Arabidopsis thaliana: one gene and its partner. The protein of the gene in region 1 interacts with the protein of each later gene in a pairwise test. Each region holds a gene or a part of one and is shown on either strand. Other genes may lie near its edges.

Region 1 (16,145 bases):
TTATGCATATGAAGTTTTTCTTAATTAGGCCTCTCTTTATAGCAATTGAAATACCAAACAAAACAGGTACATAAGATTAAGTTTCTCCTCATTGACCAATAATTTTATATGTCGTGTAAGCATTCATCTCTAATTATAATTATACATATATATATATATATATATATGCTTGAATGTTATATATATGAAAATTGATCAACTTTCTCCATCTTTCCGCCACGTTAGCAATGGAAAGAATGCTACTTGTCATATCAACATATTACATTTATTGTTTAATTTAATTTATTTAAGAATTTTTTAAATCATGCATTAATTCTTATTTAAATAAAAATTTGACATGTTTTAACTTATAATTAAATAATTTCAATTTCATTAGTTACAAACTATATCCATCTCATATATAAATTAACTTATTTAAATTTAGTTGAATAAGTTGTATAAACTTATGCATAAACATAAAATCATAAAATCAACAAATTTAATTTAACTATTGATTCTATTAAAGTACAAAAAATGAATAATATGATATTAGAATTTATTTCATGTTTTCATATACTAATATTTTATAAAATATTAGTTGAAAGCAAATATAAGATACTAAATCAGCACTACTTTTTTTGTTTATTTAAAAGATAACAAAATATTTTTGTTTTTGTATCTAAGGTAAGTAATTGTAAATAAGTATTAAACAATATAATAATGCTCTTCTTCTATAAATACTAACTCTATTCTTATCGGGGAAATTATGCTCTGATGTTCTGAGAGTTCGCGATCTCCTTGTTATCGTTCTTAGAGTGTGAGTCAGAGATATCAACAATCTAATAAACAATGTCATATCATTTAAGCTATTACTGAATATTTCTTTCAATTTTGATGAGTAAAATATTTCTCATTAAAATTGAAATCCAAGTCTTTATATATCACTTCGTCTCATTTTGTGTGGGTCTTTTAGCCCAATTCGTAATGTGAGCACTTTTGTTTTTCGTCTTTGTTCTTCCTCATTTTTTGCCATATAAACATCCACTGAAGAACAATACATCAAATAATTCTGACCAGAAACTACATAAATATGCCCCCTGGTATCCATTAAAAGGAACTCAGTGCTCACAAAGTCGCAATGGACAGAACAAAAAACCAAACTGTTTTATCGATTTTACTCAGAAAAACGTTTTATTCAGTTTGCTCTCATCCGGTCACCGGAATATTCTTGCTCCGACTAAATCAATCCTTCTTCTGCCAAATGTGAAACAAATATTAAAACACAAGCAACTATCTCTTTTTTCTTTGCGAATATTAGCTGAATGAAAAATGATAACTTACTTAGCTCATCAAAAGAGATTTTGCTAATGCTTTCACCATATTTGATCATCCGAATCTTACCTAAAACAAAGCAAGAGAATCGTAACTCAGCAACAAATTGATGTTCCGGATCAACAATATGAACATACATACCATCACGACGAACGCAAATCTCAGGGATACTCTTCACTTCACTGCTGATGCTATCATTATACACTCTAGTCTCAATATCACCTTCCACATAAACCGACGAGCTGTAACAAAGCACCAGCAAAGAAGTTTAGATGAAAACCTACACCTTTCACTTCCTATTTAGACATTGCTACCAGCATTACATAGAGCGACTAAAGACGAAACAGAGAGATTGAAGACAGATAATGTAGAAGATATTATTCAACTTAAGAGTTTCTGTGTACACTTTTACACATTCACACACATATGAGCTGATTATATCTTAACCAACGGATTTATCACTTAGTTAATCTGAAATTATAACTCTTAAACTATTGTTAATACTCTTCTTTGTTCAAGATAGTTAAGCATATAATAAAACTTACTTTTTAGCGAGTTTTTGGACAGCGTAAGAGCCAAGCACTTCGTTGTGCACAGCGATTCTATGCCACTGAGCTGGTTTTGGCTGATTAGTAGCTCCTACAAGCCTCTGATCAAACATCCCACCTGTTCCTACTGTAAAGATCGTTACTGTCCGCCCGTTCCTTAAGATCTTCTGTAACGGTGCTTGCCCTACTTTCCCACAAATAATCGCCTGAATGAATCAAAGGAAACCAACAATGACATAAAACCGCAAGAACGCCATTGAAAAGCTGATAAGTATATGAAATGATATTGCAACAAGATAACTCAAATCATCGAAATCTAGTTCCAAACTCTTATTCAAGGCACATACATAAAAACCGTTCCTTTTCAATCGGGTTTTTTGCTATAGCTAAGCCTAATTTGATTCTGATATTCTTCAGCTAAGAATGCATAACTTTTAAGTGTTAAAGATCAAATCTTTTTACCCTATGAACACCGCGAAATCCCCAACCTTTACGAGGATCAACTCCATGAGGTTGAAGCTCAGGCCTTTCTGTAACATTTTCTTCAAAATCTTCTTCTACACCTTCATCGATAGGACCAGTAGAGAACCACGACTTAGAGCCTCTCTCAGCACTTATTGCTACACATCAAAGTAACACAAGAAGAAACAAATGATAGTCTTCTGAGAAAAAGGCAGAAGATTTAGGTGATAAGAAAGAAGAATTACCTAAAGGAGATATTGAAGAGGATCTGAGAACCTTGGAGACTCTAATGGCGAGTGAGTTCATTCTGGGACGACTCTAAGGATGTGATGTCTGCAAAAATGAGGGAATTGCAAATGATTCCTCGAAATTAGGGTTGTTTACAACAAATTTGAACCAATTACGATTAAATCACGACGAAGCTGAGAAATGCGAAAGCAGGATTCCGATGTAAGAGGGAAATGGCTTACCAGTGAGTTTGTGAAAGAGGGAACGCAACACAGAGAGGAAGAAGAAGAAGAGTAAAACGACGTCGTTGAGGTTTGATTCGTTAAACCCTGCGTTGAAGATTTTTAGGGTTTTGGGGACAAAACGAAAACGATGTGAACGGGAAACATTTCGGAGGTAGAGGACGACGACGGCAACCTTAGGTTGTGCTATGTGATCTTACCAAATTACCCTTCGTTAACGAATTAATGAAATGAGATGACATGGCCCGTATAGGATTTAACTTTTCAATTTTTTTTAATGAGAATATTTTCATTTATTAATTTTAACTCATTTGATATTAATTTGTATGATGTAAGATTAACTTAAGAGATTACCGTATATATAAAAAATATATTTTTAACAATGTTTAGTTTTAAATATTTTTGTGGATTTTTATTTTTTTAATTAAGTATTAGCCCTAAGCGTTTTGGTATTCGAGTCAGGTTCAGGTCGGCTATTTTGGGTTTGAGTTTAGAAGTTTAGGACCCGTTTGGGTAATTTAAGATTTCAGGTCGGGTTAGGGTTCGAGTTTATTTATATATTAAAATATCAAATTTTGTGTGCAAATCTATTAAATTACTTGAAAATTTTAAAATATTTCCAAAACAACACGAGTAGTTTTGCTTGAATATATCTAAAAATAAACAAAAATAATTAAAATATCCGAAAAAATCCTAATATTTTCTGTATACAAGTATAAATATAACTAATATATACTTATATATGAGATATGTTTGGATACCTATTCAGGTTCGGGTTTTTTGGGTTTTGAAGTTCAGAACCGCTCGGGTCTTTGAAAATTTTGGGTTCGGGTTCGGATCGGTTCTTAGGGTTGGGGTATTATGCCTAGGCCTATTAATTATGTTTTGTTAATTTTTAATTATTTTTAATACTAAATAGGATATAGATTTGATATGTCATAAATATTATTTTGATATGAAAATGTTATCATTCAATATGAAGTGTGTAGAATTTAAATCGAGTTTATTATGATGACATAGATAGTTAAACTGTATTACAAAATTGAATGTGTAAGATATAAATTTATTTTTTCTTTTTCTTTTCTAGATATTAAATTAAATATAGAATGATGATCGGTTACTTTTTAGAATTCAAATATCATTCATAAGATTGAGTGTGTATAATTAAAATAGAATGGATAAGACTGAAATTTTGTTTAAACCAATAATTATTAAATTAAATATCAAGAAAAATATATTGATTATTATACAAATTTCTATCGATAAAACTTAATTTTTGTATCTTAGACCCGCCTAAATAGCAGATGCTGAATTTAAGAGAATAAAAAAGTTAAATTTTTGTATCTTAATTTTTATATAATAAGATTCTATTTTTTTTAAGAGAATAAAAAAATTAAATTTTGAATGACAAATGTAAACATCTGATCGTTTGACTTGACACGTGGCACGATTCTATGAGTTAGTAACTTAATTAGCATATGTAAATTTGTTTACTTTTTAAGATTTTCTATTTTTTTAAGAGAATAAAAAAGTTAAATTTTAAATGACACATGTAAACATCTGATCGTTTGACTTGACACGTGGACACGATCCTATGAGTTAGAAACTTTGAAAACCATACTTTATATAATAAGATAAGATTTTTAAGACTCTAAATATTTGTTTATAGTTTAAGTATACACTAATGCATCACAATGTCACATTAACGTATTTAACTTTACACAACACGTAGGTACGTGGACTTAGTAATGAAAACGGATATACTTTCAATATGTTATAGCAAAAACTAATCTTCCAAGTCCATTAAGACAAAAAATCAACTAATGGCAGTAAAGTTACAGATCAATCATGAGATATGGAATTTCAGATGGAACTTCTTTTAATTTGATACACTTTGAGTCTTTGACGATGGATGGACTTGGTCAGCAGAAACCTTTTTTTACGATCTTGTATTGAATTATGAATGTATGTGTCATCTCACTTTTCTCTGTAATAGTTTATGGTTCATTTCATACAATCATACTGTAACTTTCTAAGATATCATGGAATTTTGTTTACATCTTTAAATGTTAGAAATTAATTAGAATGTCAAAATACAGTTGAACTTATTTAGTTAGCTCATCCTGATTTTGTACTATATTTTATAATTGAGATTTGGTATCTAATATTTGTGCTATAACTGCTAGTCTGCTATGCTATATATTTCATATTTAAATCTGGTAGACTATCTGAAGATGTTGAACACAAACAAAATAAATGATACAAAAACGGTTGTCGTCAATAGAATAACAAGTTATACAAGAAATGGTTTGTTGCTACCAAAATAGAAATCAATGTAATAGTACATTTTGCAGATAGATATTGAAAAAGAACCTTAACAAAGTTAATACTTGGAAAAGGTACAGTTTATTTCTATCCTAATAATATAATTATTTAGTAAACCACTAGATTTAAATAACTAATCAACTTGGTTAAACTAAAATAAACCCAAAGTTGATTTGGTCAGCATTTGACCTATAGTAAACACCACCACTTATACACTCTGAAACGATATATTCTTAATGAAGACCAAAGACTTTCTCAACTTTGAATCTTTTTCCTATTTGTTTAATAGTTTGCTCACTTGGTCAAATTTTCAAACATATCTTTTAAAACCTTTAAATTCCAAAAGAACACGCTTCGTTTTAGTACATTCTCATCATTCAAATACCAAAAATCTCACATCTTTTTCCTAAACCACAATCACATGTTCTTAATCTAAACCTTACTATAAAAAAGTTAAAAAGCTATCACATCTCTTCACCTTCAATGTCAAAAGTTTTTCCAAAAAATTCATAACTATTTCTTCCGGTCACCGTAAACCGGGGTTTTACCGCCTTTCGAATTTACTCAAGACACTAAAAGTAACATGGAAATGATGAATTGGGAGCGGAGGAGTTTGCTAAACGAGCTAATTCATGGACTAAAAGCGGCCAAGCAGCTTCAGGGTTCGTCTTCTCCATCGTTGTCAGCTTCTTCTTCATATTTGACGACGGAGATAAAGGAGAATCTCTTACATAACATAGTTTCTTCCTTCAAAAAAGCTATTTTGATGCTCAACGGATCCACCACACAACACAATCCAACGATAGAGCTTGCGCCTGATCCCCTAGCTCATCCCGGAAAGGTTCCAGGATCTCCAGCATCGATCACCGGAAATCCGAGAAGCGAAGAGTTTTTCAATGTAAGATCGAAAGAATTCAACTTAAGTTCTAAAAAGAGGTAAAAATTTGAACTTAAATTAGCGTTATAAAGAAGAGAAAAGCTTATTAAAATTTAATAATAATAATAATAATATTAGAATTCAAAAAAAATAGCCAGATTTTTTGAATTAGAGATTTGACAATTAATGAAAATTTGCAGGAAGATGTTGCCAAAGTGGACAGAGCAAGTGAGAATTAGCCCAGAGAGAGGCTTAGAAGGACCTCATGACGATATCTTCAGCTGGAGAAAATATGGCCAGAAAGACATTTTGGGCGCCAAATTCCCAAGGTACATCATCATACTCTATCATCATCATCATAATCATCATGTTTACGAATAGTACATTTGTTAAAAGATTGGTTAATAGCAGCGGATAAATGTTGAGTATAATTATATGAGTAATATATACCTAAAATTACTATTCAAAGTGTATTCTCATATTAAAAACTATTTTGCATAATTTAAATATCGAATATGTAATGAATAATTCTGAATATAATACAAGATAAATTAGATATTTAAAATTATTATCCGAGTTTGCTATATGAAGGTCGGATTTGTATATAATCAGATAGTTTTTTTTGGCTAAATTTACGTGGCTTTAAGAAGAAGAAAAAATTAGTTTTAGTTTTACTAATTTAGGACTAATTTGTGTTTTTATTGCAGGAGTTATTACAGATGCACATTTCGTAACACACAGTACTGTTGGGCTACGAAACAAGTCCAAAGATCGGACGGTGATCCAACGATCTTCGAAGTAACATACAGAGGAACACACACTTGTTCACAGGGGATCCCACTTCCAGAGAAACGAGAAACCAAACCAAAACACACAGTAGCAGTAAATTACCAGAATCTCAGGGCCAGTCTTACCGTACGTACCGGCGGACTTGGAAGCGAAGCTTTCTCATTCCCCGTCACGTCGCCGTTATACACTTACGAGTCCATCAACGGTGGTGGAACGTTTTACCACCACGTGGGAAGTTCTGGTCCGTCGGATTTCACTGGATTGATCTCAACAAATACTTCCACAGGAAGTTCTCCAATCTTCGACGTTAATTTTCAATTTGATCCAACGGCTGAGATTAACACAGGCTTCCCCACTTTTTTCCACAATTCGATTTAAGTAGTACAGTATTGAATATTCTTGAGATTAATATAATCCCGATTAGCGCCTAGCGATTTAAGTAGCAGAGTCATTTTGCATAAGTAGAGATGTTCAATATGAGCAAACTTGAACATTCTCTAATTTTTCTTTCTCTACGACGAAGTCTTGGTCTTATTGTACTCTTCCACTTCTTTCTTGTAAGCTTCCATTAACTCAGCAGCTTTGCTATTGTAAACTTGTTTCTCCTCTTCACCAAGTTCCTACAACAAAATTGTAACCAAAACCAACTCAATTTCACAACTAACAGTGATAAAATCTTACTCGTTGGATTCGAGTTTCATGATTTATAATATACCATCCATTTCAATGAAATGTGAGCAGTAACAGTTGAGTTGTTGATCCCAGGATGTTCTTCTAACACACTCTTTCTTGCGTCTTTGCTGTAAAAAGATTTGAGATTATAAAACCAGTTTAGCATCTGATTGTTTTGTGGATTCAGGGTTTTAAAGTATATACCAGAAGAGAAAGTATGAAGAAGTAGGCTTTTTGGGTTTGTTAGGATCAACATTCTCGTTCTTTTTCTTGTTCTTCGCCGTCTCTTTCGTCTTCTGCAAGAAAGAAAACATGTGTTGTGTTAGTTACTGACTTATATCCCAAAATAGCTCAATGCACTGTGAGTTTAGTATATTAACCTTTATGATATTGTCGGTTTTCTCCTTCTTCTTGAGAAGTTGGAGAGCTTCTTGTTTATGGAGTTTCATGAATTCTTCTTCTTCTTTCTTCTGGCTCATTGCTTCTTCTTCCTTTGTTCTTTTATATCCTTCCATTTCTTGCAGATATATCTCCTTGTTCTTTTTCGCCATCTGTTGTTACACATACGTTAAGAACATCCCTTTATTAAACTTCACTTCTTGACACATCAATGTCTATGATGAGTATGGATGAACTAGACCTGATCATAAGGAGCCTTTTTTTCTTCCGACAAGTTCTTCCACTCTTCTCCAGCCATCTTAGCGACCTATAATCATCATTCATCATCAACACACACCTTAGCTTCAAGAGTTTCAAATGACATTGAGAAAAGACAACTCCTAATTCTTTACTTACCTCAATAACGCTTTTGTTTTCTCCTTTTAAAGCAGCTCTCCTCTCGTTTGCATAGATCAGGTAAGCAGATATTGGTTGTTTAGGCTTCAGGGGATCCTTTATCTTCCTACAAAACAAGAAATTCATTCAGTTTTATAACTTATCATTCAAAACAAAACAGTTCTCGATTTAAATACTTGAATCAGTATCATTACTTGGCCTTTTTCTTGTTGTCATGTTCAGCTTCCTGAACAAAGTGAAGATACTGATCAAGCAATTCCATTGCAGTTTTCTGCTTCTGCTCATCATCAAGAAGCTTCATTGCTTCCCTCTCACGCTTCTCCTTTGTAATAACCTGAAGATAAGCTTCCTTATCCGCCTGATACTTCTCCTCATAAGGCTTCTTCTCTTCAGCACTAATCCCCTTCCACTTAGCACCCAGAATGTTCGAAGTCTCCTTGAAATCAGCTTCAGGATTCTGTTTCTTCACTTCGTTCCAATTATCCTTACACCACAAAATATATGGTGTTGATGGTCTCTTTGTTTCAGCACAATCCTTCTTCTTCTTCTTTCCCTTCTTTTCTTCTTCAGTTTGTGCCAAAGATTGACTAAAAGCAAAAGTCTGTGGAAGCAACAACAATACTCCCAAAATCAATCACAAAATAAACATTATCACAACATAGAAATGATACATCAACGAAACATGAAGTAATCTATCGATTTAGCACCAAATTTAACATCTCTATCTTAAACAGAAGCATAGAAATCAATCTAACATCTGTGAATGATGATTAGTCTCAAATCTAAGCGAAACTTCCATCAATCATCTTTAATCAATTTCACAGAACCTGAACTAGCTTCAATCTTCATCAATAAGCGAATCAACAATCAACAAGCTCCTAAACGCATAAGATTAATCAGATTTTCTGAATATATCCATCCCCAAAATCATCATGAATCAATTTCACATAACATGAACTTAGCAACAAGGTCCATCAATAAGCGAATCAACCATCAACAAGCTCCATAACGCATAAGATTAACCAGATTAAAATCATCTCGAATCCTTTATCAAAAAACCTAATCTGCGAAATACAAGTGAAGAAGAATCAGAGCCAGATCTAGAAAATCGTACCATGTTAGGCTTGAATTCCTTCATCTTCTGCAGTTTCTTCAGCTCCGTCTTAAGTTTTTCCTGTTCAACTTCCTTCTTCCTCAAGATCTCGTCCTTCTCCTTCAACAAATCCTCAGTTTTCTCCTTCTCGATCTTCATCTTCTCCAACATCGCTTGCATCTCCATCAGATCTTTCTCAAACGACTTCGTTTCTTTCCCCTTGTCTGAGACCGGTGATGACTCGACGATCTCATTCTTTTGCTTTAACGCTTTTCTACTGTTTCTCGATTTCTTCGCATGAGCAGGATCTGAAGAAACTGTCGACATTGTGAAGAGAGATTGAGCGAGAGCGAGAGAGAAATGGAGATTTTGGAATTTGGGATTTTGACGATTAGTGGAGCCTCTGGGTTTATTAAATAAACAAAGGCTTAACGGTCAACATTTTGAAATTCAAAACTGTTCCATTTCTGGATTTAAAGAAAATTTTGGCGTCCGAAGAAGATAAGCAGTTATCAACTTTCTCTCTAAAATCTTAACGCCTTGCCGCTTTTTTGTTTCGACCAAAAGAAAAATAAATAAGAGTATCTAAATTAAAACGCCTTGCCGTTTTATACGTACAATCAAATCTTTTGTGCTGTTTTTAAATTATAAAAAAGAAAAAACAGTATACCGTACATGTATTTGTGTTGCACAAGATAAGTGTCTTTGTAGAAACTATGGACAATTCTGCTAAAAGTGGCCCATAACTTTTGTCTTATACCATAAAGATTTAAATTTGACATACCATAACAATATGGGCTTAAAGTTCAAGGCCCATAAATGCCTTCCCCTAATTTGACTCACCGTTCGTCCTCTCTCTATAAATCCAAAACCCTAATACTTTTAATCCAAGTCAGTCTCCAACGCCGACAAAATTTCATCTTCTTCCTCTTCATAGTTTTTCTACTTTCCGTTTAGTGTTTTTTGTTTTGTTTTTGAGAATGTGATTAAGATTGCTTTGGAAAGGCGTTGCACTCTTTCGTATCCTAAAGAAGGGTGTGTCACCGAAAGCGTATAATCAAATATTAAATCCGATCATTAGGACTGCGAAATTCGGATTCGTTCGAATGAACAAAACCTAAGATTCGGTGGTTTTTTTGTCGCCTTCGTAGATGAGAAACTTCGATTATTATTGAGAAATTGATGGGTTTATAATTGGAATTGCTTCATAATGGTGAACTCTCTTAGATATAAAAAAAGTGAGAGATGTTCAAGTTTCCGGAGCAAATATTAAACTGGCCAGAATTTAACAGCTCTGTGTTTAATTTTACTATTTTCACAGAGTTACCTGTCTTCTGGTATATATCATCTTAGTTTGATTCTTCTTATTTATGGATAATTTCTGATTATTGTTTCCCAAATGTTGAACTCGCCCACCAAACCAACTTACTAAACCGGATTGGATCACCATTTTATTGACCATTAAACTAAACAAAACCAAATCCAGAAAAATCAGATTTTACATAAATTGATCCATAAGAATGGCTACGTGAACCGAACCGGTTTTCAATTCATCCAAGGTGATCTATCCGGTTCATTAGAAACTCTAGCTGTTAACCAAATCTCTTCATGTTTACCAAAATTTACATGACCTATATACCAAACCTCTGTTTTCAATTCATCCAGTTTTTAAGCCATTGACTACATACAAGCAAACTGGTTATTTACCGGTTCGACCATTCACTATGATCTCCAATATGACATCGTTCAAGTGATCAATCGGACCAGGCAAGCACCAATGCAGACAATCGTTCTGTACCGTAGCGTTCTTATCTTTATCAAACGGCCTAAACTCTCTATATGGACCCGGATGACCATCGGGTCGAGTCAGCAACATGCCAGCAAAATCCAGAAGCTTTAGATTCTCACTCTCCTGACCCATCTCCGTAACCACTCTCTCGAATTGATTAATCTCAACATCTCTCAATATCTTGTTCAGAACTTTCATCTCGACTGCCTCTTCACCCACCGGTTCTGTTTTCTTACAAGTCCCACCGTTATGCCATTCCCCATCTTCAAAATGATCAGGTATCGAAGTCCGGAAAAAGATCATGCCTTTAGTTTTAGATTTCGCTATGAAGTCCATAACATGGCGCAACGACGTATTGTAAGCATAGTCGAATCCTAAATCCGTCATGTTCGAACTCTCCGGGCAGCCATGGCATCCAACGGGATTAGCATTCTCGTGGTATACCGCAGTTTTCAAGAACCATTCCCCTGAAGAGATGATCGCATAGTCAAGGCTCGGGAATAGATCAGTCCATGTATTGTCGAGTTTATCTAGATGAAGCTGAACTGCAGCTGATGAGACACCATTTGAGTCTTCAAAGATATCAGCTTGAACAAGAAAAGGTGACCAAATGTTGGATACCGTAAAGTTATACGAAGGAAAATGCCAACGCTTCGATCTATAGTTCTCATCGTGATACACTTCAACAGGTTTTTCAACCTGAAACATGGAAAAAACAAACAAAACTTACAATCACAAATCTCATTATCCTCAAGTCTGCAAATAGCTAGCAAGCAATAGCTAAAAACCTTACTGTAGATAGCATACAAAGCAAAGACTCGACATGGTTACGAGCAATGGAGTCACCGATTATAGCCCAAGATTTATTCCTCATAAGCTGCAGAAATCTCAGAGAATCAAACCGAGGCAAGGAACAGTCATTAGGCTTCCATTTCCAATTGAGAAAACCAGAATCAGGTCGACCATTAGTGATGCAATTCTGGTGAGCATCTACAACGATACCACATGACTCATTCGTGTAGATTGGTCCCAAAGGATCTTTAATCCATTTCCCAGTAAATAGATCACACTTCTCCACCTCAATATCTAATACAACAAAACAGATTCTTATCATCACAAACTAACAGAAGCTAATGAACCATTTAAAACTCTTCTAAAGTTGTAAACTATCTTTAAGAACCCTAGATCTCAGAAGTTTCCGTAAAAAACAAGGTTAACAAAATTCTACACAGCGAAATCGTTAATGTTATTGATATAATTGAAATCTTACCGACGGGAATTTGATCTTCGTTATCCGATAAGATAACAGACGTCGGAGAAATCTGGGAATTGGAGTTTCCGGTCACCGACACTTGAACTGGGGAAAATTGGCCGAAGCGGAAGACGAAGAAACGAAAAGCGAGACAAGTTATAAGTGTTGCAGCGACGAGTTTTATGAGATATGTGTTTTGTTGAAGATTAGAGATTGATTCCCATTTTAGCTTCATCTTCTTCTTCTTCCCTCGCGCTGAGAGATATACGATTTTTTTTTTTTGGTCAGAAAGTGGAATGTTTTTGATTCCGTACTTATTGCCTAAGCGATAAACCAATGAATAATAGAATCCAAAAAGATTAGTGAGTAATTTAATGCTTGTGGGGTTAATGATATACAGAAAGTTAATAAATGAAACAGAGAATGATTAATGAGGATTCTAAACAACCGTAATTATTCTCTCTCTGATTTTAAGTAATGTTTAAGGTTTTTTACACATATTACAAAAGTTTAGTTTAATTTACCTTTTTTTGCATAAGTAACTATATCTAAGTCAACCAATAAAAAATATACTATAGAATATTATTGGTCAAAAAATATTAAATACATTTAACTTTTATATTGAAAGTTGAAAGCATCATTTAAAATCGGAAAAAACATTCTCTAAATTATCATTTTTAATGATATGAAACCGTCATCAATTGTGTCAATATCAATAAAAACGATCTCTTCAGTAGAGATGAAAAAAAATTGTATCGCATATGTCACAACTAATCTAATCGTTTATATTATTTAAAGTTTTAATTTCTAAACTCATAATTTTTACCAATTGTTTCAAAATTTTCACATCTGCAATTTTAACTGCAAAAGTCTCTATATTTTCTACGGTCAAATTCCTTACACCAAAATTTTCTACAACCAAAATTGATATAGTTAGAAATAACACTTGTTACCAATCGGTCCTAACACTTTCAGATTATAGATATTGCGGTTAATTAGATAAAAAAGATTCAAAAATATATTTGATTTCTAAGGACAAACTAAAAAAATTTAGGAGCTTTAGAAAAATTATGTTTGATTTCCAATTATTCTACGTGGTTTTAGTAAAAGATGTGTTTACTATAAAAACCTTGATTGTAATTGTTTATAACTCATTACTAAAAGTTGTGACTGCAGAAATTACGAAACTAAACTACTACAAAAAAATGTGGAGAAATGGGTTAAAAAAAACAAGGAAAAAAATTCAATGTTAAATCAACTGAAATTTTTTTCATTTAATTATTCAGCTAATTTTAGGGAAGTTATCATATCACTATATATATATATATATATAAATAATACAAACAAACGATGCGTAGAAGAAAAAAAACTGTTGTCCGGTTCACTGTCCAGATCGGGTTTAAAAACATTGATTTTCATATTATATTCCGAATTTTGTTTTGCCAAAAATCCAATTACTTAAATTTCAGGTCAATTTATGTTAATTTTTTAACATAACCCGATCCAATTCAAATTGAAACAAATTTATATTTCTCTTTTAATAGTATAGGAATTTGCACAAATGTTATGTAAAAAACGGAAAATTGGTTTTTTCATATCTTTAGTTTGAACTATGCTGCATTTATACACGTATTATACCACAGTTGATTTAACCTAAACTTCAATTTGATATTTAAACTTTCATTTTTATACGAAAACATACATTAATGTTACAATGTTAGAATACCTTTAATTTCTGTTGTTAACCTGAATGTTAGGGCTGGGCAAAATATTCGTTCGATCCGCTTTGATTCGGTATATGATTTGGTTTGATTCGAAAAATCCGAATATCCGTAAGATTTTGGACCAAAGCAAATAGGAAAATGTAGTATTCGTAAAAACCGAATCAAATAACAAATTTTAAAAAAAAAAAACCGAATATCCGCTTCGATCCGTATCTTTTTATATATATATTAGAAAATATAGTTATATCTATATATATATCATAATAGTTTGTGTATTGTTGCTATTTTACGTTTTTATGTTAAAATGTTTGTTTGATCATTTTTCTCATGTTATGTTTTGATCAACGACATCAAAAACTATCGGGTTTTAGTTTTCGGAATTAGTTTGATAACATTTTGTAGACTGGTGGTACCAACAAGTATTTAGTTTTTATTTTGAAAGCATGTTAAATAAAAACTTTGAATATCTGATATAGTTATATAGTATATAGATTTTTTTTAATATTTAAATATATCAAAGCGGATATCCGCAAATATCACAAAAAATTCTGGATATTCGAAATTCCGGATATCCGGAAATTTTCGAAGCAAAGCAAAGCAAATCACAAAATCAAGTATTCGTTTAAAACGAATCGAATAACAAATATCACAATTTTTCCGGATATCCGTTTCGTACCCAGACCTACTGAATGCCATATATAAAACGGTAAAAACAGAAAATTAAAGTTCTAGTAAAAAAAACATCGCATCAGTTACAAGGTTTGGATTAAATTAAAAAAAGGTTTGGGTTAAATTAGCTTAAGAATGAACAATTTATTAATTATTTTTTTGGTCACATGGAATAAACAATTAATTAATTTGAATAATATTACTTAAATACATACAAACATTATCTGTCATCTTCGATTACGTTATCATTAACCAACGTTTAGGAGGACTTTGCTTCTTCGTCTTCTTCTCTCTTTAGGTTCTTCAAGTTCGCAATCCTGGTAAGATTTTCTCGAGAAAATTCCATTTCTTTCTATCTGATTCTGTTTACATTGTTGAATGCTTGAAAGAATCTGAGTTTTAACCACACTCTCTCTTCCCTGTTACTCACCATTTTCTCTCTGAATCCTCCGAAACCCATTTCGATTTCCACAATCTGAGCTCATAAATCTGGTTTAATTCTCATCTTCGTTGCATTTCAGTCATAAAGAGAACATAAAGCTTGGATATTTAGGGTTTTTGCAGAATTTTTGATTAAGCTTATGAGTTTGGTAATAATCTGTAGAAATTGGTTGATGTTGTTTCAGGTTTGGGTTTAGGACAAATCAGAGAAGAAGATGATGTTTGGTTTAGAGAAAACGATGACTTTGGAGCATGAAATTCTGAAGGAGAATCATGAGACTCTGTTGAAAGATTATGAGAGTCTTCAGGAGAGGATTAAGCATGCTGAGGAAGCTTATGAGGCTATTAAGTTGCATCATGAGAACAAAGCTAAGGAGCTTGAAGTGAGTAACAAACGCTTGCTTGAGGAATGTATGAAAGAGAGAAGGGAGAAGGCTAAGGTTAGGAAGACTTTTGAGGAGATGAAGAAGACAATGGAGAGTGAGAGAACTGCTATTGTTGATGAGTTGAAGTCGAAGAATCAGGAGCTTTTGTTGGGGAAGAAGAAAGAGGAAGAAGAGTTAGTGAAGATGGAGAATAAGTATGTTGAGTTAGCTGAGAAGTTTGATGTTGTTGAAAAGGAATGTGCTTACTTGAAGTCACTCTATGATGCGGAAGTAGTAGCTTCGGTTACTCAAAGTGCTGTAATCTCAGGGGTTGGAGAGACTGATAATCTTATTGGTCAAGGAGAGAACGAGGCTAATCAGAATGTGAACAATGCTGTGACAGGTATACATAGACATCTCTGTACCCAAGTGTTGTTTAGTTTACAATGACATTTCTTTTGAATCTATCTTTGTGTGCAGATGCGATAATGATAAGTGATGATGAAAATGATAATAATCCACCTATTGAGAGTAACATAAGCTCTCATCGGTCTGGTGATAGA
Region 2 (15,512 bases), 8.5 Mb from region 1:
GAAATTCAGCTGGAAAACTTACAGCAGAATTTAACTAGCTTTTTGTCCACAATGGAAGAACAGTTAGTGGCCTTGCAGGATGAATCTGAGCGGGCAATGATGGTAGAACATGAATTGACATCATTGATGTCTGAATTTGGTGAAGCAGTTGTGAGGCTTGATGATTGTTTACTCAGATCTGGCACTTCTGGAGCTCATACTGGCTTAGATATGACCAAACGCATATCTGGTTCTGTTGATGTGGCTGTAAACGTGATTGAAGACCTCAAGGAAAAACTAGAAGCAGCTTATGTGAAGCATGAGTCCACCTCAAACAAATATGAGGAATTGAAGCAGAGTTTCAATACTCTGTTTGAGAAGAATGAATTTACAGCTTCTTCAATGCAGAAGGTCTATGCTGATCTGACGAAATTGATTACTGAATCATGTGGGTCAGCGGAGATGACCAGTCTTGAAGTTGAAAATGTAGCTGTCTTTGATCCTTTCAGAGATGGTAGTTTTGAGAATCTGTTGGAGGCTGTGCGAAAAATTCTTTCTGAGAGGCTTGAACTTCAGTCTGTGATTGATAAGCTACAGTCAGACTTGTCGAGTAAATCAAACGATATGGAGGAAATGACGCAGCGAAGCCTTGATTCCACTTCACTTCGAGAGTTAGTTGAGAAGGTTGAGGGTCTTCTGGAACTTGAAAGTGGAGTGATTTTTGAATCTCCTAGTTCACAGGTGGAGTTTCTCGTTTCCCAACTTGTTCAGAAGTTTATAGAGATTGAGGAATTAGCTAATCTCCTCAGAAAACAGTTAGAGGCCAAGGGGAATGAGTTGATGGAGATCGAGGAGAGTTTACTGCACCATAAGACTAAAATAGCTGGTCTCAGGGAAAGTTTAACCCAGGCTGAGGAGTCCCTTGTGGCTGTACGATCTGAGTTACAAGATAAATCTAATGAACTTGAACAATCAGAGCAGAGGTTATTATCGACTCGAGAGAAGCTTAGCATAGCTGTTACTAAAGGAAAAGGTTTGATTGTTCAGCGTGACAATGTCAAGCAGTCGTTGGCCGAAGCCTCTGCTAAACTGCAGAAGTGCTCAGAAGAATTGAATTCGAAGGACGCTAGGCTTGTAGAAGTTGAAAAAAAACTGAAGACCTATATTGAGGCAGGTGAACGTGTGGAAGCATTAGAATCTGAGCTGTCATACATCCGAAACTCAGCTACTGCATTGCGAGAATCGTTTCTTCTGAAAGACTCTCTGCTTCATAGAATTGAAGAAATTTTGGAAGATTTGGATCTCCCAGAGCATTTTCATGCCCGAGATATATTGGAAAAGGTGGAGTGGTTAGCAAGATCAGCTAACGGCAACTCTTCGCGCCCCTCTGGTTGGGATCAGAAGAGTTCTGATGGAGGTGCGGGATTTGTTCTCTCAGAGCCCTGGAGGGAGGATGTACAAACTGGCACAAGTTCTGAGGATGACTTGAGGATCAAGTTTGAGGAGCTCAAAGGAAAGTTTTATGGATTGGCTGAACAGAATGAAATGCTGGAGCAGTCCTTGATGGAAAGGAATACTTTGGTTCAGAGATGGGAAAAACTCCTGGAAAATATTGATATCCCTCCACAGCTACACTCCATGGAAGTGGAAAACAAGATTGAATGGCTTGCAAGTACAATTACAGAGGCTACACATGACCGGGATAATCTCCAACAGAAGATTGATAACCTTGAAGTCTATTGTCAATCAGTAACTACTGATTTGGAAGTCTCACAAAAGCAAGTAGGTGATGTCGAGGGAAATCTTCAATCATGTGTTAGTGAGAGGGTGAATCTTTCTGAAAGGCTGGAAAGTTTGATTGGTGATCATGAGAGTCTTTCTGCAAGGGGCATTCACCTTGAAGTTGAGAATGAGAAACTGCAGAATCAAGTGAAAGATTTGCATGAAAAATTGGTTGAGAAACTTGGGAATGAAGAACATTTTCAGACTATTGAAGGAGACTTGTTAAGTTTGAGGTACATGATTGATGATGTTATACAGGAAGATGGCTTGCAAGATTTGGCTTTAGCAAGTAATTCTGAGAACTTGGATGGAGTGCTGAGAAAGCTGATAGACTATTATAAGAATTTGGTGAAATCTAGTTTGCCAGGTGAAACCGATGACAACGTCTGTGAAACTCGTCCATCAGATGCTGATGTTAGAAGCGGAGAGTCATTGGGTGCACATGGAGCAACTTCTCATGGGCAACATTTTGAATTGTCTGATTCTAATGTAGTTGAAGCAACAAGTAGAGACATAGCAGTCGTAGAGACACCTGATGTAGCTTCCCTAACAAAAGATCTGGATCAGGCACTGCATGTTCAAAAGCTGACAAGGGAAGAAAGAGATTTGTACATGGCAAAACAACAATCCTTGGTTGCGGAAAATGAGGCACTTGATAAGAAAATAATAGAACTGCAGGAGTTTCTTAAACAAGAAGAGCAGAAGTCAGCTTCTGTAAGGGAGAAGTTAAATGTAGCTGTTAGGAAAGGGAAGGCTTTGGTCCAGCAAAGGGATAGCCTGAAGCAAACTATTGAAGAGGTGAACGCTGAGCTTGGTCGCCTGAAATCAGAGATTATCAAAAGAGATGAAAAGCTCTTGGAAAATGAAAAGAAATTTAGGGAGTTGGAATCTTATTCTGTGAGGGTAGAATCCCTAGAGTCTGAGTGCCAATTGTTGAAAATTCATTCGCAAGAAACAGAATATCTTTTACAGGAAAGAAGTGGTAATTTGAGCATGACGTTGAATGCGTTAAATAGCATTGATATTGGTGATGAAGGTGACATAAATGATCCAGTCATGAAGCTTCAACGAATCTCCCAACTGTTTCAAACAATGAGTACAACCGTGACTTCTGCTGAGCAGGAGTCGAGAAAATCTAGAAGAGCAGCTGAGTTGCTACTTGCTGAGTTGAACGAAGTTCAGGAGACAAACGATAGTCTGCAAGAGGATCTATCAAAATTTACATATGAAATCCAGCAACTTTCCAGAGAGAAGGATGCAGCGGAGGCTGCAAAGGTTGAAGCCATATCTCGTTTTGAAAATTTATCAGCAGTCAGCAACGAAGAAAAGAATAAGCTATATGCTCAACTGCTATCATGTGGAACCAGTGTGAACTCTCTAAGGAAAATACTCGCAGGTACCAACAGTTGCCTAGCTGATATTTTCATCATGGATATGGAGTTTCTGCATCATCTGAAGGCAAATATGGAATTATGTGCGAAGAAAACTGGAACTGATTTGTCTGGCTTGCCTCAACTCAGTACAGAGAATCTGGTAGACAAGGTATTTAAATAATTTTAACAGCTTATTATGGTATATATACTTTCAAGGTTTTTCTGCCTCTGACTATTTTCTGAATATTGTTTTTCCTATTTCTGCGTAGGAAATCTTTGCACGCTTGAGTGCTGCTTGGTCTAACATTAACTTGCATGAGACATCAAGTGGTGGAAACATAGCCGAAATTTGTGGTTCTCTCTCCCAAAACCTTGATCAATTTGTGGTTGGTGTTAGCCATCTCGAAGAGAAAGTAAGCAAGCACTTGGCCACATGGCACGACCAGATCAATATTGTATCCAACAGTATCGACACCTTTTTCAAGTCAATTGGAACAGGAACGGACTCTGAAGTTGCCGCTCTTGGTGAAAGAATTGCCTTGCTTCATGGAGCATGTTCTAGCGTGTTGGTGGAAATTGAAAGGCGTAAAGCTGAACTTGTTGGAAATGACGATTTTAATATGAGTCTCCACCAAGTAGATGAGGACTTTTCGTCTATGGAATCTGTCAGGTCCATGGTAAATAGGCTATCGTCAGCTGTTAAGGAGCTTGTTGTAGCGAACGCTGAGACTCTGGAGAGAAATGAAAAGGAGATGAAGGTAATCATCGCCAATTTGCAAAGGGAGTTACACGAAAAGGACATCCAAAATAATAGGACGTGCAATGAACTTGTGGGTCAAGTTAAGGAAGCCCAGGCTGGTGCAAAAATCTTTGCGGAAGATCTTCAATCTGCAAGTGCCCGGATGCGTGATATGCAAGACCAGCTGGGTATTTTGGTTCGGGAACGGGATTCTATGAAGGAGAGAGTAAAAGAGCTGCTAGCAGGGCAGGCGTCACACTCAGAATTACAGGAGAAGGTCACATCTCTTAGTGATCTACTAGCTGCGAAAGACCTAGGTCAGTTTTTCTCTTTTACCCTTTTGTTTTTGCACCGCCACATATATAGCTGATACCTAATTGCTTCCTGCAGAAATTGAGGCCTTAATGCAAGCGCTTGACGAGGAAGAGTCTCAGATGGAGGATCTGAAACTCAGAGTTACAGAATTAGAACAGGAAGTGCAACAGAAGAACCTAGACTTGCAGAAAGCTGAAGCTTCTCGTGGGAAGATTTCCAAAAAGCTATCAATTACTGTGGATAAATTCGATGAGCTCCATCACCTCTCTGAAAATCTTCTTGCTGAAATCGAGAAACTTCAACAGCAAGTGCAAGATCGGGATACAGAGGTTTCTTTCTTAAGACAAGAAGTCACTAGGTGCACCAATGAGGCTCTTGCTGCTTCTCAGATGGGCACTAAGAGAGATTCAGAAGAGATCCAAACTGTACTGTCTTGGTTCGACACGATAGCTTCACTACTTGGTATAGAAGATTCGCTGTCCACTGATGCTGACAGTCATATAAACCACTACATGGAGACATTTGAGAAAAGGATAGCGTCTATGCTATCTGAAATAGACGAATTACGGTTGGTTGGACAAAGCAAGGACGTTTTGCTTGAAGGCGAGAGGAGTAGAGTGGCTGAGCTCAGACAGAAAGAAGCAACTCTTGAGAAATTCTTACTTGAGAAAGAATCCCAACAAGACATTTCAACAAGCTCGACGTCAGAGATCGTTGAAGTGGAACCTCTGGTAAGCTTTGAGCTTGTTAAATAGTTACACCATTCCAGATGCCTCAAGATGATAAATTTTTAATTGTGGATTTTTTTTTGTTGGATATCACAGATAAACAAGTGGACAAAAACATCGATTCCATCACAAGTCCGGAGTTTGCGTAAGGGAAATATGGATCAAGTCGCCATTAGTATAGATGCAGATCAAACTGATCAAAGCGGTAGCTTAGAAGAAGATGATGATAAAGGTAATTAAACTTGTCTCTGAATATTTAGTACTTTTAACAACATTTCTTAGTAACATTCCCATTTGTATTTTTTCTGTTTTTTAGCTCATGGTTTCAGATCACTCTCTACGTCAAGAATCATTCCTAGATTCACAAGACCCATCACTAACATGGTCGATGGTTTATGGTCAGACTCTTTTCATCCATGGATCTCGTTCAGTGTAAAGTTCTTTAATTATGATCTAACAAAAAACGACCCTTTTATTTGGTTTCTGAACTTTTCAGGGTCTCTTGTGATCGGACGCTCATGAGACAACCTGCTTTACGGTTAGGGATCATGCTATACTGGGCGATATTGCATGCTCTTTTGGCTGCTTTCGTGGTCTAACCAAACTTCCAATTTCGTAAGCTCATTACTGACTTTTTTTTTTTTAATCCCAAAACAAGTTGCAAAGAGTAGCTTGATTTGCTAAGCTTTTAAGACGTGTTTTAATCGTATATTTGCAGCTGGTTTCTCGTTATAGCATGCATGGGCTCATCAAAGTGGTGATGTGTTGTCGTCTCCAACACTAATTTTTTTTTTTTTTTTTTTTTTTTTTTTTTGTCTTTGTCTTTGTTTTTAATTCATTGTTTAGCTTATATTAACCAAGCAAACTGTGGTTTCAGCATTTTTATTGATCCGAATCACAAACTGCTTGGGTTTTCAAACGAATAAGAAAGAAAGTTTATTTAGTAGCTGTGGAATGAAAGTGTGATTTAACTAGAGAGACTTGAAGTTCTATTATTTTTCTTTTTCCCTATTCTGCTATTCATTATTTTCAGAAATACAAAGCAAAATACGTGAAATGATCACATTTAAGTATTTAACAAACTATACAGAGAAAAAATAAATATCACCGACACTAACATATTATTGAAAAAAGGCATGAAAAGGCTACTTTTAAGCCCAATAAATAGGCCCAAATTGTATATTTACTAAATTTTGTTAACGCGCTTACAAAACCCTTTGGAAAGTATTTCATCAAATTTCAGATTCAGAAACCCTAATTTCTTCACAAAGCAAAACACAGAAAAAGCCATTCTTTTTGCCCCTTGAGTGCTTTCAGCTCTTCCCACAAGGTAGGTCGCAACCAAGTTTCTTTATCTCCTTCTCACTCTTAATTGTGGTAACGTTGATCCGATCTGTTCAAATTTGATCGGGTCACTTGGTGGATCTAGTGACTCTGTATTTTTTCTCGATGAATTCAAATCCTTTCGAATGTCTTACTAGAAAAGATTTAGAATTCCTTTATGTTGACCTTGGTTTATTGTGCCATTGACAGGTTACAGAAGTAATGTCACGTGTGTACGTCGGAAATTTGGACCCGCGAGTTACTGAGCGTGAACTTGAGGATGAGTTCCGTGCCTTTGGAGTTGTCAGGAGGTAAGAATCAATCCAATCAATCAGTTCGCGCTACAATTTTGTCACTTTTGAAGTTAAAAGTATCCAATTTTGCATCTCTCTAATGTTCATATGTAATGTGCAGTGTTTGGGTTGCCCGTAGACCACCTGGTTACGCTTTTCTAGATTTCGAAGATCCTAGGGATGCCCGTGATGCTATCCGTGCTTTAGATGGTAATGATGCATTCATATTCTTTCTATTTTGCTTTGTTCTCTTAGAAGTTGATGTTTTGATTGGGATTGGAAAATAAGTTTGGTGGAATCTTTTAAAGGAGAGAAATTTGAGGTTTGCAATTACTTTTGACTTGAAACTTCACAATTTGACATGGATATTGTGATAACGGATAGGCAAGAATGGCTGGAGGGTTGAACAGTCTCACAATCGAGGTGAGCGTGGTGGCGGCGGTCGTGGTGGTGACCGTGGAGGTGGTGGCGGCGGCCGTGGTGGTCGTGGTGGCTCTGATTTGAAATGCTATGAATGCGGTGAGACTGGTCATTTCGCACGTGAATGCCGTAACCGTGGTGGAACTGGAAGGCGTCGCAGCAAGAGCCGTAGTCGCACTCCTCCAAGATACAGAAGGAGCCCAAGCTATGGACGGAGGTCAGTGATGCTTTTTATTTTGTTACCTTAGTACCTTATTTTGAACGGATTAAGTAACCTTGCCTTTTTCTGGTTTTAGGAGTTACAGCCCTCGTGCAAGATCTCCCCCTCCTCCAAGGCGCCGCAGTCCTTCTCCTCCTCCTGCCCGTGGCCGCAGCTACAGTAGATCACCACCTCCATACAGAGCGCGTGAGGAAGTGCCATATGCTAATGGGTAAATTTCTTTTTCCCAAGTCTCTATATCATTATCAGTGTTTAGGTTTTGGTTATAGTTCTTAGAGATAAACATTTACATTTTCTTCAGATGCTAATTCAACATCTGTTCTTGTTTCTTCAGAAATGGACTGAAAGAAAGACGCAGAAGCAGGAGCTGAGTGAGTGATTTTGCAAGAAAACGAGTGTGTGGGAGGATACTTTGGAAGAGAAGAAGAGAGGGACTAAGGGAAGTTACTATCATCTATGAATTTCAGTAAGAGAACATGTTTTAGGTCTGCTGGGTTGGATAAAGCTTGCTACTTTTGCTTTTGGATATGAAACGTACGTAGTTGTGTATCTACCAATAGGTAAAAGAACACTTGATTCGTACCCTAGTTTCTTAAAGACATAATGTTTGATTGGAAATTCTGCTAAATGCCTAAGCGTTTCTTGTCTTTTTCCACCGTGTCGAGGTTTCTTCGGGTCTACTACTACTACTACTGCTTCATTGCTTATCTACTTGCTTCTCTACTCTTCTCATATGAAGCATCTTCCTTAGTTTCTTGGCCTACTTCATTGTTTATCTGCTTGCTTCTCTACTCTTCTGCTATGAATCATCTGCATTTAGTTGCTCGGCCTGGTATGGGAAAAGTTAAACCACGGTTGTGGATCCCTAACATCATCTTCATTTAGTTGCTCGGCCTGCTTCATTGTTTATCTACTTGCTTCTCTACTCTTCTGCTATGAATCATCTTCGTTTAGTTACTCGGCCTGCTATGGGAAAAGTTAACTACGGTTGTGGATCCCTACATGGCTTGCTTCTACTTCATCTTCGACCCTAGAGATGCGCTATTGTTTGAAAACTTCATCAGCTTTGAGGTTACCTTCTTTGCATGAACTTGAGCTGCATCACTCAGAAGCACCTCTTGTGTGGTCTGAATGTTGTGCATTAGGTTTAGCATAATTGTAGCTATGTGATAGTGTTTAGTATGCACATTCTTGTCCTTGGATAGATTTTTGTGCATTTCACGGTTTATATAGGCAAGTCAAGAATTTGTAAATGCGTATCAGTTGCTACCATTTGGTACTTGTGTTCATTTCACTTAAGCATAGTTGTGAAATTGTTCACTTTTATGAAGGTGAAGCAAAGTAATTGCCTAAGAGGAAGATTGAATACATAATCTGATTTGCTCTTATTCACGTAACAACTAGCTATGGTTTCGTTTCAGCAACTATAAATCCCAAATTAAGTGAAAAAATAAAAGTATACTTGCGAAGTAGACATGGAGACGTTGTTTTGGCATGACAACAATTAAAAGCCTAGAAAAGCAAGAGAGACAAGATCATGATCCTAGTTCGGTCCCAGAATCATCAACAAACCCACCAAATTAAAATCTGTTTGGTCCCATTCTTCACTTACACATCATTGAATTGATTGTTATGTGACGTAAACCTCTCTGACCTCTGCTTTTTTTCTGCAATTATGCTTCTCCTCATTCCACTTCCTCTGCCGACACTTTTTTTGCTCCACGTTTCTTCACTTTTCACCGACACTAAGTTGAGAATGTCCTAAGATCCTCAGAGAATACAATAAATATTGGTCTTTCTCTTGTTTCAGTTTAGTCAGAAAACTGGTTCTTGTTAGTTATTTACAGTTACAATCTCTTTCCACAAAGGTTGGACTTTAAATTACATAAATTCTCTGCAGTGATTTGACATGATCCTTGAAATTAGTTCAAGACAGAAGCTCTTTTAACTGCCAACAACATGTTCCAACTTTACAGATATTGTATACATGTATGAATCTCTGGCTCACACTCTATCCCTAACAATGGAGGAATCAAACCAACATAACAAACAAACAAACGAAACGGAAAATCAATTAATGCCTACCACTATGGTTCCAACAATCTCATTACAGAGGATACCACTGAACATAGAGGAAGTGGAAATTCAAACTCACTGATTTATTGACCCGAGTTATGAATCTTCTTTTGTTCTTCTCAGCTCATCTGCTCGCCTATGAGATCGAGACCCACAAGAAGAAAGGTAACACCTTGGAATAACAGGAAGTAGAAATGCACTCCTTGTGCTGCCAAGAGACTCCTAAGCGCTGCAGTGAGCAAAAGAAAGGCCAATGCGAGCTCTTTGTGGTATATCTTGTTGGTTTTCTTGACAGGTTTCTTTGAAACCGCTTGTTTCTGTTCTTCAAGTTGGCTCAGCTCCAAAAGTTCGCTGTCGGAAACTCCCCTAAGCAATTGACTTTTCTTGGTTGGTGTCTCTTTCTCGGTGATAGATAAAAGATCTGACTCTGATGATCTTCCAGCTTTCTTTGTGACAATCCACTCGTAAGAGCTACCCAATTGGAATAATCCGGACACCATCGCATTGAACTTGGTGACAGACATTGTGTTCTCGAATAAGAGATAAGGAACGATGAAAGGAAACGATTTTGGAGATGGAAGAAGGTTGAGGAAAGACATGAAAACTGGTATGTAGCAGATGACCCAAACAGGGAGCTCAGCTTCTGGAACAAACATGGTGAGTGGAAGGATTATGCAGAACAAAGTGAAGGAGTAGAAAGGAAGTATGAGTTTCCTAAGAAGAAAGAAGAGAAGTATCAGATTCGCCTTCTTCCATATCGCTATCTGCAAGAGTAACCAATGAGAACCAGAAGAAGTCATTAACATGATGATTAGCAAACATTTGAACTAAAAGAAGAAAAAAGCTGCACACTACCTTAGAGGTCAAGATTGAACCAAGACACAAGCGGAAAAGCTGCATAGGTCCCGAATGCCAACGGTGTTGCTGCTTCTTATATGCCTCGTAGGACTCAGGAACTTCGCAAAGGACCTATAGATTTGTTTCTATCCAGTTTAATTCATTTTGTTACATAAATAAGGCTTTTTTTAGAAACAATCGATAAAAAGTAGTACCTTGACGTCATTAAGATATATGAACTTCCATCCATGAAGATGAGCGCGGACTGCTATGTCCATATCCTCCACAGTAGTCCTTTCAAGCCAACCACCAGATTCCTCAAGGGCTTTGATTCTCCATACTCCAGCTGTTCCATTGAAACCAAAGAAGTTCAAGAACACGCCGTTCACTTGCTGCTCCACCTCAAAGTGAAAACACAGATTGATGTTCTGAAGACGGGTCAACAAGTTCTCGTCTTTGTTCACAAATGTCCATCTAGCTTGAACTAGACCTAACTCTGGGTTATCCTGAAGATTAAATCACATTTTTAACATGTTAGCAATCTCTCTCTCCACTTTTCAATGATAGAAAATTGAAACCAATGTTAATACCAACCTTGAAATGTGGAACTGTTAGTTTAAGGAAATCCGGAGTAGGCTGGAAATCGGCATCAAAGATTGCGACATACTCGTATGCTTCAACGTAATCACAGCTCATTGCTGATTTGAGGTTACCAGCTTTATATCCAGTTCTAACCAAGCGATGCCTGTAGATTATGTTGACTCCCTTTTGGCTCCATTTGGCAACCTCAGCTTTAATTAACTGTTGGATGCTTTCATCATTCGAATCATCGAGAACCTGAACCAGTATTCGATCTTTCGGCCAGTCAAGTTGACACACGGCAGATATAGATTGTTCATACACCTGAACAAGAAGAAGACTAAAGCTCATTACACTGATACCAAAAAGGTTATATAAAGCAGGAGAAAGATGAATACTTTCTTGGATATACCAAAGTTGAATGAGCATACCTCTCTCTCATTGCACATTGGAATCTGAACAAGAACCATTGGATACTCAGATCCAGATCCCTCAGCATCATCATTACGGAAAGGTTCCTCATCAAATCTCGGCTTAATTTTCTTATACTTGATCCAAAAACAACCCAAGCAAAGTACCAAACGATCTACTGACTGTATAAGGAACAGCACAATACAAAACTTGGAGAGAGCTTTGATGGGAGGAGCAATATAATCAGCTCTAAGGGTTAACCAACCAACATACACAAGATGAAACAGGCTCTGGATCTCAAGTGTGCTAGTGGGGATGTGAAGACTAGGGCTTTGAAAGTAATGCCATCCTCTAAAATAAGCAACAATCTCAAAGCCGAGAATCACTAAGGAAACAGCTAAGAAGAGCTTAATGGCAGTGAAAAGCCATCTGTCTCTGCCTAATTTCTCAGAGCCAAGTGGGTGAGTGAAACTAAGCCGTTTCTTGATGGCACCAAGGAGAGACCAAAAGACAGTGGCGAGCCAAGTGAGACATCCAACAGCTCTATGAGCTTTGAGAAGCAAAACCCAAGTGACTTGCTTAGCGTTCTTGCCTCTGCTCTTCTCCACTGGTCTAAAAGCCGAATCTGGACCGTCGATTTCAACTACAGAGTAATTAGGATTCTCCATTTTCACCACAACTGGTGTTCCTTTCCTCGTGTCTTTCGCCCACCAATCTGAAAAATCCAACCTTGGAGCCATCTTTTGCCTCTAAAATCTCCTCTGAGAAGTAGAGAAATCGAAAACCCTAGCTGAAATTTCTAAATGTGGTAAGAAGGATCCCAAAATAAACACCCAAATCTCAAAGTGTGAGATTTCAAACACAACCCATTTTCAGGAAAACAAAAAGGTAGAAACTTTGAGTGAAAGGAGTGAGCTTTCTCTACTAATAATGGAAGAGAAAGAGATTAATCTAACACCCAGATCCCAGAAATCTGAAATCTAGAGACCCATTTTGTTTTTTATTATATTCTAAAAAACCAGACAAAGAAGCATCCACAGCTCAAGGCTCATTTATAGTGGACCTCTTTTTTTAGAGAATGACAGAGAGAAGGATGGGTTGGTGAGAGAGTGTAGTGACTCAGAGAGAGAAGCAAAGGCAGAGGAAGAGGAAGAAAGGTATCATCAGTGAGAGAAGTTGTAAAAGATGTGTCACTTGCACTTTCATGTGTGTGTTACTCTTTCAGCTACTTATTTGATTGCTTCAGCATGCAAAATTCATCCCCTTTTTATTATCACTCTTTGTAATCTTTCACAAGCACTTGTCATGTCATGGATCTTCATTACAAATATTTGTATTTTCTTAAAAAAAACAAATTTGTTATATATTCAAAAGAAAGAAAATTGAGGAAAATCCATTGATGGATGGGGACCATATGGGTTGTTTGGCAATTTGAGGTGAAGACAAATTCAAATTTGTATTTGTGACCAACTATGTACTAGTTACATTGGAACATGTTTATAAGAAAAGATACTACCAAATCGGTTTCAAGTGAATCACTCTATTTTGCTATCACCGCTTCTCCTACGTGCTCCCCATGTCATGTTCCATGTTTTTTCCAAATTATATATTTTATACATTTAGTCAAATTCTCTTTGTAGTCCATTCATATTTGTTAAAAATACTATATTAACATGAGTTAAAAGTTTTCCTGATTAATTTACTCAAAGCATAAGCATTTTCATTATTATATTCTTGTCAAAAAAAAATCTTGAGTGTTGATCATACTTGGTAATTGGTATAATCACAAACGTAAGTCAAAGCCTTACTGTTAAAACAAAGGGATGCAACTCAATATTAACTATGAGTTCTATAATCAAAATATATATTATACATTAGGAGAGTAAGGAGGGAAACATTATACTTTGGTTTATTGACAAAGTGCTCTCTAACAATCAAAATTGGTCAAGTGTTGACGTAAAATATTGCCGCTAATTTTGGTCATTTTGTAAAACAAAAGATAATTTAGTGGTGCATGCCTTTGACAAAGGGAAGTATTTGACAAAAAAAAGAAGAATGTGATTCATTAGAAGGATAATGTCAATTTTTCAGTTTTAAAAATTCTGAAAGTTCCAACCAACAATTAGGTTACCCGAGATACTTGTCGGTGGTGATATCAACACATGTAGAACACTAGAAGATAAGGATATTCGTTGGCATTTTTAAGGTTTTATTTACTATACAATACCTAACGTTTTACGAAAGTATCATATAAACACTAATAAGAGAAAAGGAAAAGCTAAAAGGAGAAAGATCAAAAGAATTATAAATAAGTAATTTTGTAGGTTAGTACTATTTTTTTGTAATACCTTTTTTTATTTTGTGTTGCTTGTGACATGCATCTACAGAAACCAATCGGTGCTGAGTAATTAAAAATTTGTCATGTAGATTAAAGTTAGACTCAAGAATATATTCTATACGGTTTTAATAATTACTGGCTAGCTATTATATAACGTCATAGATGGAAAAAAACAAAAACTGCAGAATTTAGTGACATTTTTTAATGAATTTAGCCTCAGACACAGTTCTGCCCTAAACACAAATGGTTAGATAACTATGACAATTCTGATGAAATAATAATTCACAAATTATTGGACATGATATATTTTTAAGTGTGCTTTAAAATGAATCCAAATTAATCATGTATATATTAAGATGATCGATTGTGTATTGGTGAATGATTATTAGTTATGACTCATAATGATATTCTTTGAACTATGTTATCATAATCTTTTCATACAGTGCTTTACACCCTCTACTTTATACATATTTATTTCAATAATTGTAATTAGTGGATACAATCATTCAATAATTCATTTAATCGATTAAAGTTTTCTATTGTTATGTTTTTTGTTTTATAAGTTTTTCAACTCTTCCAAAGTAATGTCCATTTCTTTTATAAATTTGAATATTCTGAGCAAAATCATGGAATAAATGAATGTACTACTAATTTCACGCCAAGAAAATGAACTCTATAAATGCTATAGCCTTTCGTATGAATTATGAGTCATTTATTTATCTTCATTTATTTGAAATCTCTAAAGTCCAACTAAAAACGTTTGCAAATTCAAAAACCAAAAATATTAGTTATGATCCGTATGCACAAACCGTAGATTTAAGGAAACGAATTAAGACTTAAACAGAGGTCACTGACGTTGTAATGACTTATGTGCTGTCTTTTTCTATCACAAAATGTCTTAATCCAAAGTATTAATTAGTAGTAGTAGTAGACCCATTTAAAAAACTTTTCCACCATTAAATAGAACAAACATTTCATGTGTTCTTGATAGTTGATAGTTGATACCAACACATGTCTAATGTTTAATATGGTTATGCTACAGCCACAACTTAACAATTATACATTAGCATGATTGCATCTACATATAAAAATAGGTATTGATTTTTTTTTTTTCTTAACCTAAACGAGAAATTAACTGATCAATGAAGTTTCACATCAAAATTAAATCTCACTCTAGGACCGATTTTCCTGGTTCAACTCTCAAATACATCGGTTCGTTCTGATCATTGATTTGAGTGGCAAAGTCTATAAACCGGGGTAATGCCTTCCCAAACGAAACCAAACCGGACCGAAATTCTCATTTTTTGTGAGCTTCCAAATCAGACATTAGCTTAGCCGGTTTAGCCTTTTTCTGTCGGTACTTGGCATATGAGTACCACACACCACCAGCTGTGTTGACCACTAAACCGGACACGTTCAAAGCATGTACTTCAACACCACCCAAGAGGACAAAACCGAGCGTCTAGGAGATTAAAAAGGAGGCAAAGATTAGTAAATGATTGCCTCTATAGATTTCATCTCGAAAGAGAGCCAAATGAGGGTTTATACTTACAGTGGAACCAACGCCTTTGAGAACACCAACGATGGTTGTTGTTAGTGCAGAGTTCACAATGGTGCAAAGAAACATGGTGAAGTTGAGGACAATGCCCATAACCAGTGAAAGAATGAGAATCACCAAGAACGGCAAATAAGAACACTGTCAAAGAAAAAAAAATTGATTTTGACATTTTGAAGAGACTAGTTTCTGAGAATAGCCGCAAGCTTGGAATGATGAAGTTTCTAACCTTTGCAAGTAATAGTGATAGAGAGTTTGGGAATTCGCCGGTAACTATGATGAGGATGGACAAAAATGGGAGAGAAAGGAAGCTGTTATAGAACATTATCTCGATGGAGGAAAGCCCGTCTTCTGCACCAGACTTCTCCACCAGCACAAGGTACATAGTCTGCAGCAATGATGAGAAACAATATTCATTTACTCGTATGGGTGAGTGGAGACTGATTTAAGAGAAGGAAAAGAACAAATGAAACCAACCTGGAAAAAGACAGATGTTAAAGCCAAACCATACCCAAAAAGATCAAAAGAAAAATCACCAAGAGCT

Evidence for each region.
Region 2: the proteins of 3xHMG-box1 (region 1) and RSZ22 interact in a two-hybrid assay, tested with the Arabidopsis thaliana proteins (one large-scale study listed by BioGRID).

The regions. Positions count from the first base shown.
Region 1 is NC_003075.7:6,753,604-6,769,748, forward strand, and holds 3xHMG-box1 (HMG (high mobility group) box protein), read right to left. Parts: upstream 9,897-16,145; 5' UTR 9,670-9,896; coding exon 9,364-9,669; intron 8,851-9,363; coding exon 8,444-8,850; intron 8,356-8,443; coding exon 8,250-8,355; intron 8,161-8,249; coding exon 8,095-8,160; intron 8,006-8,094; coding exon 7,835-8,005; intron 7,751-7,834; coding exon 7,659-7,750; intron 7,583-7,658; coding exon 7,498-7,582; intron 7,403-7,497; coding exon 7,295-7,402; 3' UTR 7,161-7,294; coding exon of another isoform or gene 6,701-7,160; 3' UTR 6,675-6,700; downstream 1-6,674. Other genes in the region: MTSSB (mitochondrially targeted single-stranded DNA binding protein), read right to left, coding at 1,217-1,233, 1,321-1,380, 1,453-1,553, 1,857-2,065, 2,322-2,479, 2,567-2,627; WRKY41 (WRKY family transcription factor), read left to right, coding at 5,700-6,052, 6,194-6,322, 6,701-7,160; TBL23 (TRICHOME BIREFRINGENCE-LIKE 23), read right to left, coding at 11,042-11,830, 11,925-12,217, 12,402-12,618; AT4G11100 (gelsolin protein), read left to right, coding at 15,433-15,985, 16,063-16,145.
Region 2 is NC_003075.7:15,300,522-15,316,033, forward strand, and holds RSZ22 (serine/arginine-rich 22), read left to right. Parts: upstream 1-6,022; 5' UTR 6,023-6,246; exon of another isoform or gene 6,247-6,250; intron 6,251-6,449; 5' UTR 6,450-6,461; coding exon 6,462-6,550; intron 6,551-6,653; coding exon 6,654-6,742; intron 6,743-6,916; coding exon 6,917-7,169; intron 7,170-7,248; coding exon 7,249-7,383; intron 7,384-7,506; coding exon 7,507-7,543; 3' UTR 7,544-8,514; downstream 8,515-15,512. Other genes in the region: AT4G31570 (nucleoporin), read left to right, coding at 1-3,303, 3,404-4,190, 4,264-4,919, 5,013-5,148, 5,246-5,348, 5,413-5,515; CSLC5 (Cellulose-synthase-like C5), read right to left, coding at 9,368-10,012, 10,104-10,217, 10,301-10,591, 10,680-10,988, 11,096-11,815; UTr7 (UDP-N-acetylglucosamine (UAA) transporter family), read right to left, coding at 14,711-14,875, 14,966-15,109, 15,198-15,356, 15,446-15,512. UniProt on the Arabidopsis thaliana protein: Sequence-specific RNA-binding protein probably involved in pre-mRNA splicing. In vitro, can complement efficiently splicing-deficient mammalian SRSF7-depleted HeLa cell extract.